Linked DNA regions of Oryzias latipes. The protein of the gene in region 2 purifies or fractionates together with the protein of the main gene of each other region. This does not show direct contact. Links are inferred from orthologs where the notes say so. Each region holds a gene or a part of one and is shown on either strand. Other genes may lie near its edges.

Region 1 (4,357 bases), on a different chromosome or scaffold from region 2:
ACGTGGGTTTTCTTTTCTACCTCTTCTATCGTGGTTTTTTGACTCCTAAAAACCCGCGGAACTCCAACGTGACGATGTTTCTGTGTGTCCTCTAATGCGAGCAGCGGGCTCCAGCCAGGCGGGTGCAGCAGAAATACCAGGCGGGGGCGCTGCAGGTCAGGACATCTCTTTTTATTTCTCCCAGATAAGGAGGCGTGCCTCCAGCTTGTGTTGGCTCCTCTTCCTCTCATCTCCCATCTTTTTTTGCTGTTGTTGCATTTTTAACAAGCACATCCAGCCAGAACCGCTAATGGAGGCGTGTCCGGCTGTCTTTTACATCCAGATTCTCCTAAAACCTTTCAGCGTTCCAGTCGGTAACAGCTGTTTCGTCCCGCATCGCGTCACATGGTTCAGGCTTCCACGGCGTGCGTTCATTTCTGATAATGAACACTTCGTCAGCCATTAACCCTTACTTATTAATCTTTTGACCAACTCCTCCACGCTCGTTAAAGTCCCATATGTTGCGTTTCTTATTTGAAATTAGCCAAAGAAAGCTTCATCCTTAATGTGTTTGACTAAACTACCCAGAATGCCCAGAGGCGCCAAGAGGCAGAGGATTGGTCAGAGAGGTTCGATGGGAGGTTTTCTGTTTGAATTCCCTCCTTAACCCCTAAAAGACTATGTGGTGTCTCGGATTTGTGGTTGTTTTTGTTTTAAACCCCACTACGAGTTGTAGGCGGGAATCTTGGTTTGAAGCAACTCGGCCCCCTCTGAGTACTTTGTTTAAACTCTCCCACAATAGCTTACAACCCCTTCCACCCCCCCCCAACCTAACATTCCCGGTGCAACAGAATGTTGGAGCTGTCCGGCCATTCGGTTCTGAGGGGGGGGGGGGGGGGGGGGGGGGGTTGAGGGGAGCAGGGAGATGGTAGCTTCTACGTCACCAACAGGATCTTCTTCCAACTACTTTCTTTTGTTAACGATTTGAATAAAGAAATACTCACAAATGCAATTTCCACCTTAATGGGTTGAATCAAGCCTTCAACCATCGTTTTCCTGTTTCTCTCTCTTTATTTTATTCATTTTTGCAGCTTATCTCCTTCTGCTACTTTTTTTTAACCATTCAACTATTCAAATGTTCAGCTCTTCAAATCCTTGAACTTTTCCAGATATTCCAGGATTTCCAGGGTTTCTGCCTCCATTGAAATACTTGGAATCCTTGGTGCATAAGCTCGCTGGTTCGATACCCGGCTCTGGCATTTTTCAGGATTGTTGTTGTGCTGTTTTCATTTTATTTATGGTCAACTTTGATCATGTCTTTCTTTATTTTTTGCCAATTATTACCTTTAGAGTTTCATTTTCATTCTGAAGTAAAACATTCAACCTGTATTGGCTCCTTCTAGTTGTCTTTAACTGTGTCCTCTATCATCAGAAACGCCACGTTCATCAGAGTGGGTTTCTACAGTGATGCTTCCTGTTGTTTAGCTCCACATTTAGCTCGCTGTTGATAAATGTACCCGTCATCCACCCCTTCCGTCCTCACATCAGCATTTGCCTTCATCTCTTTGTAATAACCGTTTGTTTGTTTGTTTGTTTTCTTCCTCCGTCCGTCAGCGGATGCCTCCAAAAAGTCTGAGTCGAATCCGCTCACGGAGATCCTGAAGAATCCCACCAAAGTGGTCCTGCTACGGGTTGGTGCTCCGAATCGCGTCCGTTCAGAGTCCGCGGGGCTTTCCTGGGAGCTGAAAACCGCCTCGTGTTTTGCAGAACATGGTGGGCCGAGGGGAGGTGGACGAAGACCTGGAAGGAGAGACGAAGGAGGAGTGCGAGAAATACGGCAAAGTGGTGAAATGTGTCATATTTGAGGTGAGACGGAGCGTCCCGGACGGAGGGGAAAGGGGGTTTGAAGAGGCGCCTGAAAGACTTCTGCTCTCCTGTCAGATCGCAGAGGTTCCCGACGACGAGGCGGTCCGGATCTTCCTAGAGTTCGAGAGGGTGGAGTCCGCCATCAAAGGTGACTGTCGCGGACGGGCGCTCGAGGCTCTGGTTTCATAACCGCTCCGGTAACGCCGGCGAAGGCGTAACCGTTCTAAATGAGTCGGCCCAGATCAGAAAGAAGGTGAGCCTCGGCTCCCTGAGGTGTTATATCATCTGTGGCCCAGCAACCCAGGCGCTTCCCTGCGGCACCGGCAGAACCGGGCTTACATCACCGCTCGCAGAAAGTGGGGCAGACCAAGGGAAGGGTTACACCGCTCTCCACACAGTCATTCTCACTAAACAGACGCCAGCTTTAGGTTTATGCTGTAGAAACGGAAAAATTTTCACTTTTTAACCCTTGTGCTTTCTGGAGGCACGTTGGGAGTGGGGTCATCTGGACCCCACCAGATAGCACAAGGGTTAAAAATAAAATGACGTCTTTTAATAAAATTCTGTGTTCATCGTCGTCCACAGAGCAGACGGTGCCGTTCCGCTCCGTTCTCCAGCCCCTCTCTGTTTTTTTGTTTTTTTTTACTCACTTCTGAGGGTTGAGTGGTTGCCTGGCAACCAACACTTCATCCCCAGAGTCTAAGACAAAGAGCTTGTGTCCGAACTCCTTCACCGCGCACCATACGGGGCATGGCACCAGTTTACTGGGACGTCCGAATCTACAATTTCTTAAATTCCATCGCCCTAGAAGTCTCAGCAAGAAAAACAACAACAACAAAAAAAGCAATCTACATCACTGCTCACTAGGTTGGTGAATATAGACCACAATGCATTGCGTTTGAGCGATTTTTCATGAAAAAAATAGTATTTTTAATACATTTTTTCATGGACCATCCAAGCTTCCATCACCAGAACAAGAGTTGAATCACAATCAATCTTCGTAAAATGTTTGTATTTGTTCGGATTTTATTACGGAAATTGGTGACGTTGTATTTTTAAAGGGGGGGAAAGAATGATCATGGTGTCTGCTTTTAGAAATCATTAGGTTAGGTTTTAGGTTGCTGGAGCCTATCCTAGTTACTGCTGGGCAAAGGCGGCTTTCAGCCTGGACAGGTTCCGTCACAGGACACATTCGGATCATATTTAGGGAAAAGACTTTACTGTTTCATGTTGCAAGTTCCCTGGTCCCTTCTGACTGGACCCGAGTACAAACCTGTCAGTTTGCCCCCACCATCCAACTTCCTGTTGTCTCCTTCCTCTGAACACCAAAACACAAACGGATGAGAGGAAACGAGCCATCAGACAGACAGACAGACAGACAGACGGGAGCTCCAAATGTGCACAGGAAAAAAGAAGAGTTCCTAAAACAGCCATGAGAAGTGCTGCTTCAAACGATACTTCACACTACTTCTTTAAGTCACTATAAAGCTCTTAGTGATGATTCTCTTCGACCTATAATAATATAATAATATTAACTTTATTTATATAGCACTGTTTCGAAATCCAGATTACAAAGGGCTGTACAATTAATATGAAACAAAACCAGTATTAAAAACAGTTTCCAGTATGGAGAAATAAAACCCAGTACACATATGAAATGGTGATAGTGGTTAGAATCAATAAAATCGATAAATCAGTAAAATCAAGAAAATCAAGAAAAAAACAATGAAATCGATAAAATCAAATGTTTAGATTTAAGAACCAGTAAAATCCTTAAAAGCACACCTGTAGAGGTAAATTTTTAAAAAGATTTAAATACTGGTAGGGACCCAGCGAGCCTGATCTCTTCAGGGAGACTGTTCCAGAGTGTTGGGGCTCTTACAGCAAAGGCCCTGTCCCCAGAATTAATTTATCCCTGAAGCTTCAGCTCACGAAATTCTAAAGCGAAAAGAAGCGGTGTAGGGACCTTAACCATTCAGCCTGCAACACCCGTTCGGGGTCCTGGGACTAGTGCTGACGTCCCATTATGTGATTGGCTGTTCGTTGGTCCGATGACGTGTCAGATAGTCATTGGTCTGGACAAATAACGATACCACCATAGAAGAAAATATTATGCAGTCTGTTGTAAACAAGCAGAGCTCCGACACGGAGTGAGATCATCTTCTAAACACGCTTCTAGTATTTTTACGATCAAGTGCCTTTGCAGCCGTACGGACTGCGGTCAGAACGCTTCTCCGGTCCGAACACTGAAACAAAGAACCGTCCCCGCCTGCAGCTACGAGACTCCAGCTGCTCTGCTCAGAGAGCAGCTGGTTCATTCTAACAGCCACAGATCTTTGTGCTCAAATGGAACAGTAGTTTCCTGCAGAGATGAATGACGTACCAATGAAGTACCAATTCTAAAGGTTCCCCTATAGAAACAAACTAAACTAAACTAAACTAAACTAAACTAAACTAAACTAAACTAAACTAAACTAAACTAAACAGACTAAACAAAACAAAACGAACTAAA
Region 2 (5,134 bases):
GGTGTAAAGCGCGGACGCCTCTGCGCTCAGCCCTCGCCCCACAGGCTCCCTGATCTCCCTTCCTATCTTCTCCGACACCCCTGCCGAGGGGTTATTGAGATTATTGAGATTTACACAGAACATTCTATCTTCTAAATACGACCTTAACTACTGCAGAGCAGTGCCACAGATGCCTAGCAGTTGCTGTAATCGGGAGATCAAGATATTGTGATCTAGTGTGTCGAAGGCAGTAAAAGGATGTTGGTTAAAGGATGCGAATGTTTGAACAATGGCTGTATTTAAGAAATGGACTGAATGACCCCTCCTCCCTCAACTTCTGTACATATAAACAACTATTACTCAGTCATTCTATTGGTCAGAATAACCATTCTGGCTCTGATACATTTTTAAACATCTACTTACAAATCTTTTTTTTTTTCATATTTTTTCACAAATTATTCAAGTAATAAACTGACCAATCAGAGGCCTTAGTGAAAGCATGCAGTGCCCACTGGCCTCCACCTTGAACATTTGATTGACAGATTCCCCCAAGCCACTTTCAGTGGAAGGGGTATGGACTTTGAACAAGCTTACTCATGGTTGGTTCCAGCAGTTGCCATAGAAACAATGACTCAGGCTACATTGGACCAATCACTGCCATCAGGCTCCAACATGGCAACGTCATTTGGTTGGAGCCTGAGGGAAGCTATTTTCTAGAGGTGATGTCAGACCTACTCAGTCAATGAGAAGAGCGTGAAAACAGTTCATCAAAAGGAGCAGAATATTTCTCAAAGTGAAGATGAATTTATTATTACATCAATCATGGATTATTTGGATTATTTAAGTGAAACTTTTGTTCGTCATCCAACAGTAGGCGGTGGCTGCTTCACTTGTAGGCGGTACTTTTTTTACGGCCTACCAGCTACTTTTGAAGCCCTTGGACAATTTAGACTAAACACCAATGAACCTATTTTAAACTGTGGAAGGAAACTGGAGTTTTCAGAGAAAACCCACACATGCTTAAGGAGAACAACTCCAGACTGAATGGTCCCGGCTGGGATTCAAACCAGCTAACTAACCGCTGCCCCACCATCCAGCCCTTGATCCATAAATGATTTTTAAAAGAATTTGTTTTATTTTCTGAGAGTGTGGCCACAAACCAAGTTAGGAGGTTGAATTTATGTCTTTGTTTGCTTGTTTATTTTCTGCATTAGAGTTAATACCAAATTTGCCAGGAGAAGCAAAACACAATGAGATACTAAGAACAAGCATCAAACATTATAAAGAACTCACATATTTCATGTTTGATTTGCACTTTATCCCAGTAAAGCCCAAACATCAAAGAACTGAAAGAAAATTTGAGTTTTTTTTAGAATTAAGATGTTTTTTTGAACCTTTTGATAAAATCCATAAACAAATTATGCAAGATAACTTTTGATGAGAGATATATAGTATCAATTGTGATATATTTGGTGAGTTGGTAAGTTTTTTCTCACAACACTTTTAAAGATGCAAAAATATTTACATCAGTTTTATGGCGAAAAACACCTTATTTATTACCCGCTTTCTCAACTTACATACACACATTTTAACTGTTTTATAAAGAATTAGCCAGCAAAAAATGTGGTATCTTTAAATACAGCAACTAGTCATTAAAATGAATAATATATGATTTTTCTAAATAAAGTTTTAAAATTAGCAAAAACTTTCCTGCCCAAAATGTTTATTAGATTTAATGGAAGGAACCATTTCAAACGAGCAGGAAAAGCGTTTCTACTGTTCTAGCTGGGAAGAAAACAAGCACCAAGTTATATACAATGGGTTTTTGGGTATGGAAGCGATTCTGTAGCATACTTACAAATAAAAGTCAAAACCAGAAATGCTTTTTCATTTTCAAAATGAAACTGCATCAAATTACTCAAAATTAAAATGAAAAATCAATCCTTCAAAATGCTTTTTAATTTCTAATTAAAAACCCGCTTATTCTGTGTCATAATTAAAAGGAAATTGCAAAGAGTGGATTGCAATTTCATGTTCACATCCACCCTGCAACATTGTTTTTACTGACGGACCTACTACATTTGTATGAAAGCGTTCTCTTCACGCAGGATCCGGAATCAGTCTTCTGTCTTTCCTCCTCCTCCGCGGCAGGGGGCGCTGTGGCATCTGCAGCTGCATCCGAGGGAACTTCCGGTATGCTACGGCGGCTAAGCGCCTCCTGTTGTTGTTAACATTTCTCACAACTTATGGTGTAAAAGGGGCGCTTGTGACCCAAATCAGCCCGGTCTGCCCCAGCTCAGCGCACCATGGACATCCCTAACCCGCCTGAAGGTGAGCGTCAGATCAGCTCTGGTCGGGACCGCTAGCTATTCTTATCTGAGCGCGCGGCACTTTTTTGACGTAAGGAACCGCGCGCAACAAAGAACCTTTTAGAACCGTACCTCCCTGCGTTTGATCTCGTAATCCCCCGGGGTGTTGGTTCTCCTCGTTTTCATCATTCCAGCTACTGGCGGAGACCCACGTGAAAGCACAGCAGGCCTCTCGGCTCCGGCTTCATAATCATACTTAACGTAAAAAATCTGAAGCGGTCACATGAGCTGTTCGGAACCGATACAGAGCAGTTATGTGATTCTGAGCTGACACCAATACAATTGAGGTTCACGGAGAACCGGCTTCATACAGAACTGTGGCTAAAATCTATCGGAACCAGCTGAAAAGCCCAGTGATTTCATCTGAAAACGCACGAACGAACCCTCGGTCGGATTCTAACTGACATTTTACACGTTCATTTACTTTTGGTTCAGATTTGATGGAAAGTTTGGACCCACTAAGTTGGAACAGGTCTGAGAGATGATGAGCGGATGAGAGGAATTGGGAATAATCATCAATGTTATATAATCGGTATGCTGAATGGGAGGAGGCCGTGTCTTCTCCTTGCTCATCCTCCTCTGTCCTCTTTGCAGATCAAGAGTTGAGGAACGTCATCGACAAGCTGGCCCAGTTTGTGGCCCGAAATGGACCCGAGTTTGAAAAGATGACCATGGACAAGCAGAAGGACAACCCCAAGTTCTCCTTCCTGTTTGGCGGCGAGTTCTTCAGCTACTACAAGTGCAAGCTGGCCCTAGAGCAGCAGCAGCGTGCGTACCGTCTGCCGCATCACTTTCAGTTTATGGCTAAAGTCTGAATCCAGTGATGACGGGAGCTGCAGTCTGTGTCTGCGGGAGGTGGGGGTTTAGATCGCCCACCCCCGGTGTATCCGTGAGAGATAAATTGAGTTTTTAAAAAGGTTTGGTCAAAATAATGAATATTTGCAATTATCTTTAAAATGGTGATCAGAGCAGCTCAATAACTCATGACTGCAGGAGAAACGACAACAGCTTGAACTATTAGAATGTGATTGATGATGGGAGCGTGTTACTTTGTTTGTTTGGTCTTCTTAGATGGACAATATATGGCATCAAACAGCTAAAATGTCTCCAGATAAACCATCCAATCATATTTGAAAGGTTTTGCCACCGGAAAGAGGGATTCATGATGTTCTTCAGAAATCAATAGTTTCTGTGCTGTTAAAACATGGACATGGTCATATATATGTGGGGTTGAACGCTCTGCCCAAGGACTCTGGAAAACACGTTGGTGGGCAGGATTGGAAGTGAGCCGGTGATCCTGCCGTCAGAGGTTGACCGCTCTACCTCTGAGTCATGGCCAGATGTTTGGTTGCAGCACGGCTTCATGAATCAGAAACTTACGCAGGAAATGTTCTGAAGTTTTGGAAGAGCTTGCTCCACCACTGCTTCTTATTTGGTTTAAAGTCCCACTCCCATCATCTTCTGATCTCTTTCCATAGCATTCCCAGGGGTCTTTTCATTATGATGATGCCCTTGTGTTGTTTTCTAGAACATAGTTTCTGCAGAGCGGCAGGAGTTCATTAGAAATTCACGTCAGAGTTGTGGCCCTCCCCTTCCCATCATCCAACTGTTTACATCCTCTCCTGCTAGCTTACAGCCCCGCTCTTCCCCAACGGGGCAACAAAAATGGTGAGCAGTAATAGAGCCATCCAGTCGTCCAGTTCTGATCCAGATTCCAGCTCAGACCAGGAAAACACAGACGTTCATGGATCTGTTGGTCTGACAGTGGATGATCAGAATGGAGCAGAGCAGGAAGCTGGTGGCCCCGCCGCTTTCAGTTCTCATAAATCACAACTAGGAGCTTTTACAAATGTCATTTTTAATCTGCTCTTGATGCATCCCAATTTGAATAAAGAAAAACTCAGAAAAGCACATTTAACCTTCGGTTATTTTATATACGTCCCCCATCGTGAGAAAAAGGCTACAGGAACGTGGTAAAAACACCATTTTCATTGGAGCGGCTCTTTAAAGATGGAAAAGACAGATTAGCATGTTGTCGTGTTTTCATCATGGAGGGAAGGTTGTATGAAAAAGGACTGACAGGATCATCGCTGTTGGGAAAAGGGTGGAGCTAGATGTAAACTCTTGGTAGTGTACAATATCAGAGACAGTGGATTCAGTGAATTCTCCATTAAGTTGCCGGTGTGCATTCAGTCAAAAACAGAAAAGTGGAGGTGTGCAGTCTTTGAGGTTCACAGAGATTTCCGGCAATGAGATGACAGCTGTCAGATGTTGGGACAGGAGTTGTGGAAGCTTTCACCCTCAGTGCAACTTTCCCCTAAAACGGTTTAAAAAAAGATGGCACCCTCTCACACTGAGTCTGCCCAAGTTCAGACGGTGCTTCTTCAATAGTTATGGCTGTTGTGGAACATTAAGAACACTTGGTGACAAGAAATGGAGAGGACAGAAGAAAGCTGCTGGGTGGATCTGTATCGCGGCACAAAGAAACTGCACTTACTTCTGTGAGCCATGTGATCCACTGAAATGCATTAAAGTCTGTTTTCTCCACTCAGATCCCTCCATTCAAGAAGGGGAGGATTGTAAATCAAAAGGTATTTATCTGGAGCAGGTGTGGCTAGAATCTCATGGATGCTTGGAGGCATTTGGGTCTGCTGTCAGCTGCATCTTCATCTTCATGTGGTCTTCTGCTTGAGCATTCCTCCCATTTCTGCAGAAAGTTTGCCTTTTTTGCTCCATCATGGCTCCATCACTCAGCAGGAGAGCCAGACCTGCTGATGGAGGCTCCA

Evidence for each region. Proteins that work in one complex are often made in the same cells at the same time.
Region 1: the proteins of cherp (region 2) and rbm17 purify together in Homo sapiens (co-immunoprecipitation; 4 studies listed by BioGRID and IntAct, counting the BioPlex papers as one, with this or other methods). This does not show direct contact. The link is inferred for Oryzias latipes from reciprocal best matches to the Homo sapiens genes CHERP and RBM17.

The regions. Positions count from the first base shown.
Region 1 is NC_019881.2:3,094,663-3,099,019, forward strand, and holds part of rbm17 (splicing factor 45), read left to right. Parts: coding exon 1-2; intron 3-104; coding exon 105-155; intron 156-1,593; coding exon 1,594-1,670; intron 1,671-1,746; coding exon 1,747-1,845; intron 1,846-1,920; coding exon 1,921-1,993; intron 1,994-4,357. UniProt on the Homo sapiens protein: Splice factor that binds to the single-stranded 3'AG at the exon/intron border and promotes its utilization in the second catalytic step. Involved in the regulation of alternative splicing and the utilization of cryptic splice sites.
Region 2 is NC_019862.2:1,435,530-1,440,663, forward strand, and holds the start of cherp (calcium homeostasis endoplasmic reticulum protein), read left to right. Parts: upstream 1-2,098; 5' UTR 2,099-2,285; coding exon 2,286-2,310; intron 2,311-2,942; coding exon 2,943-3,116; intron 3,117-4,900; coding exon 4,901-4,939; intron 4,940-5,134. UniProt on the Homo sapiens protein: Involved in calcium homeostasis, growth and proliferation.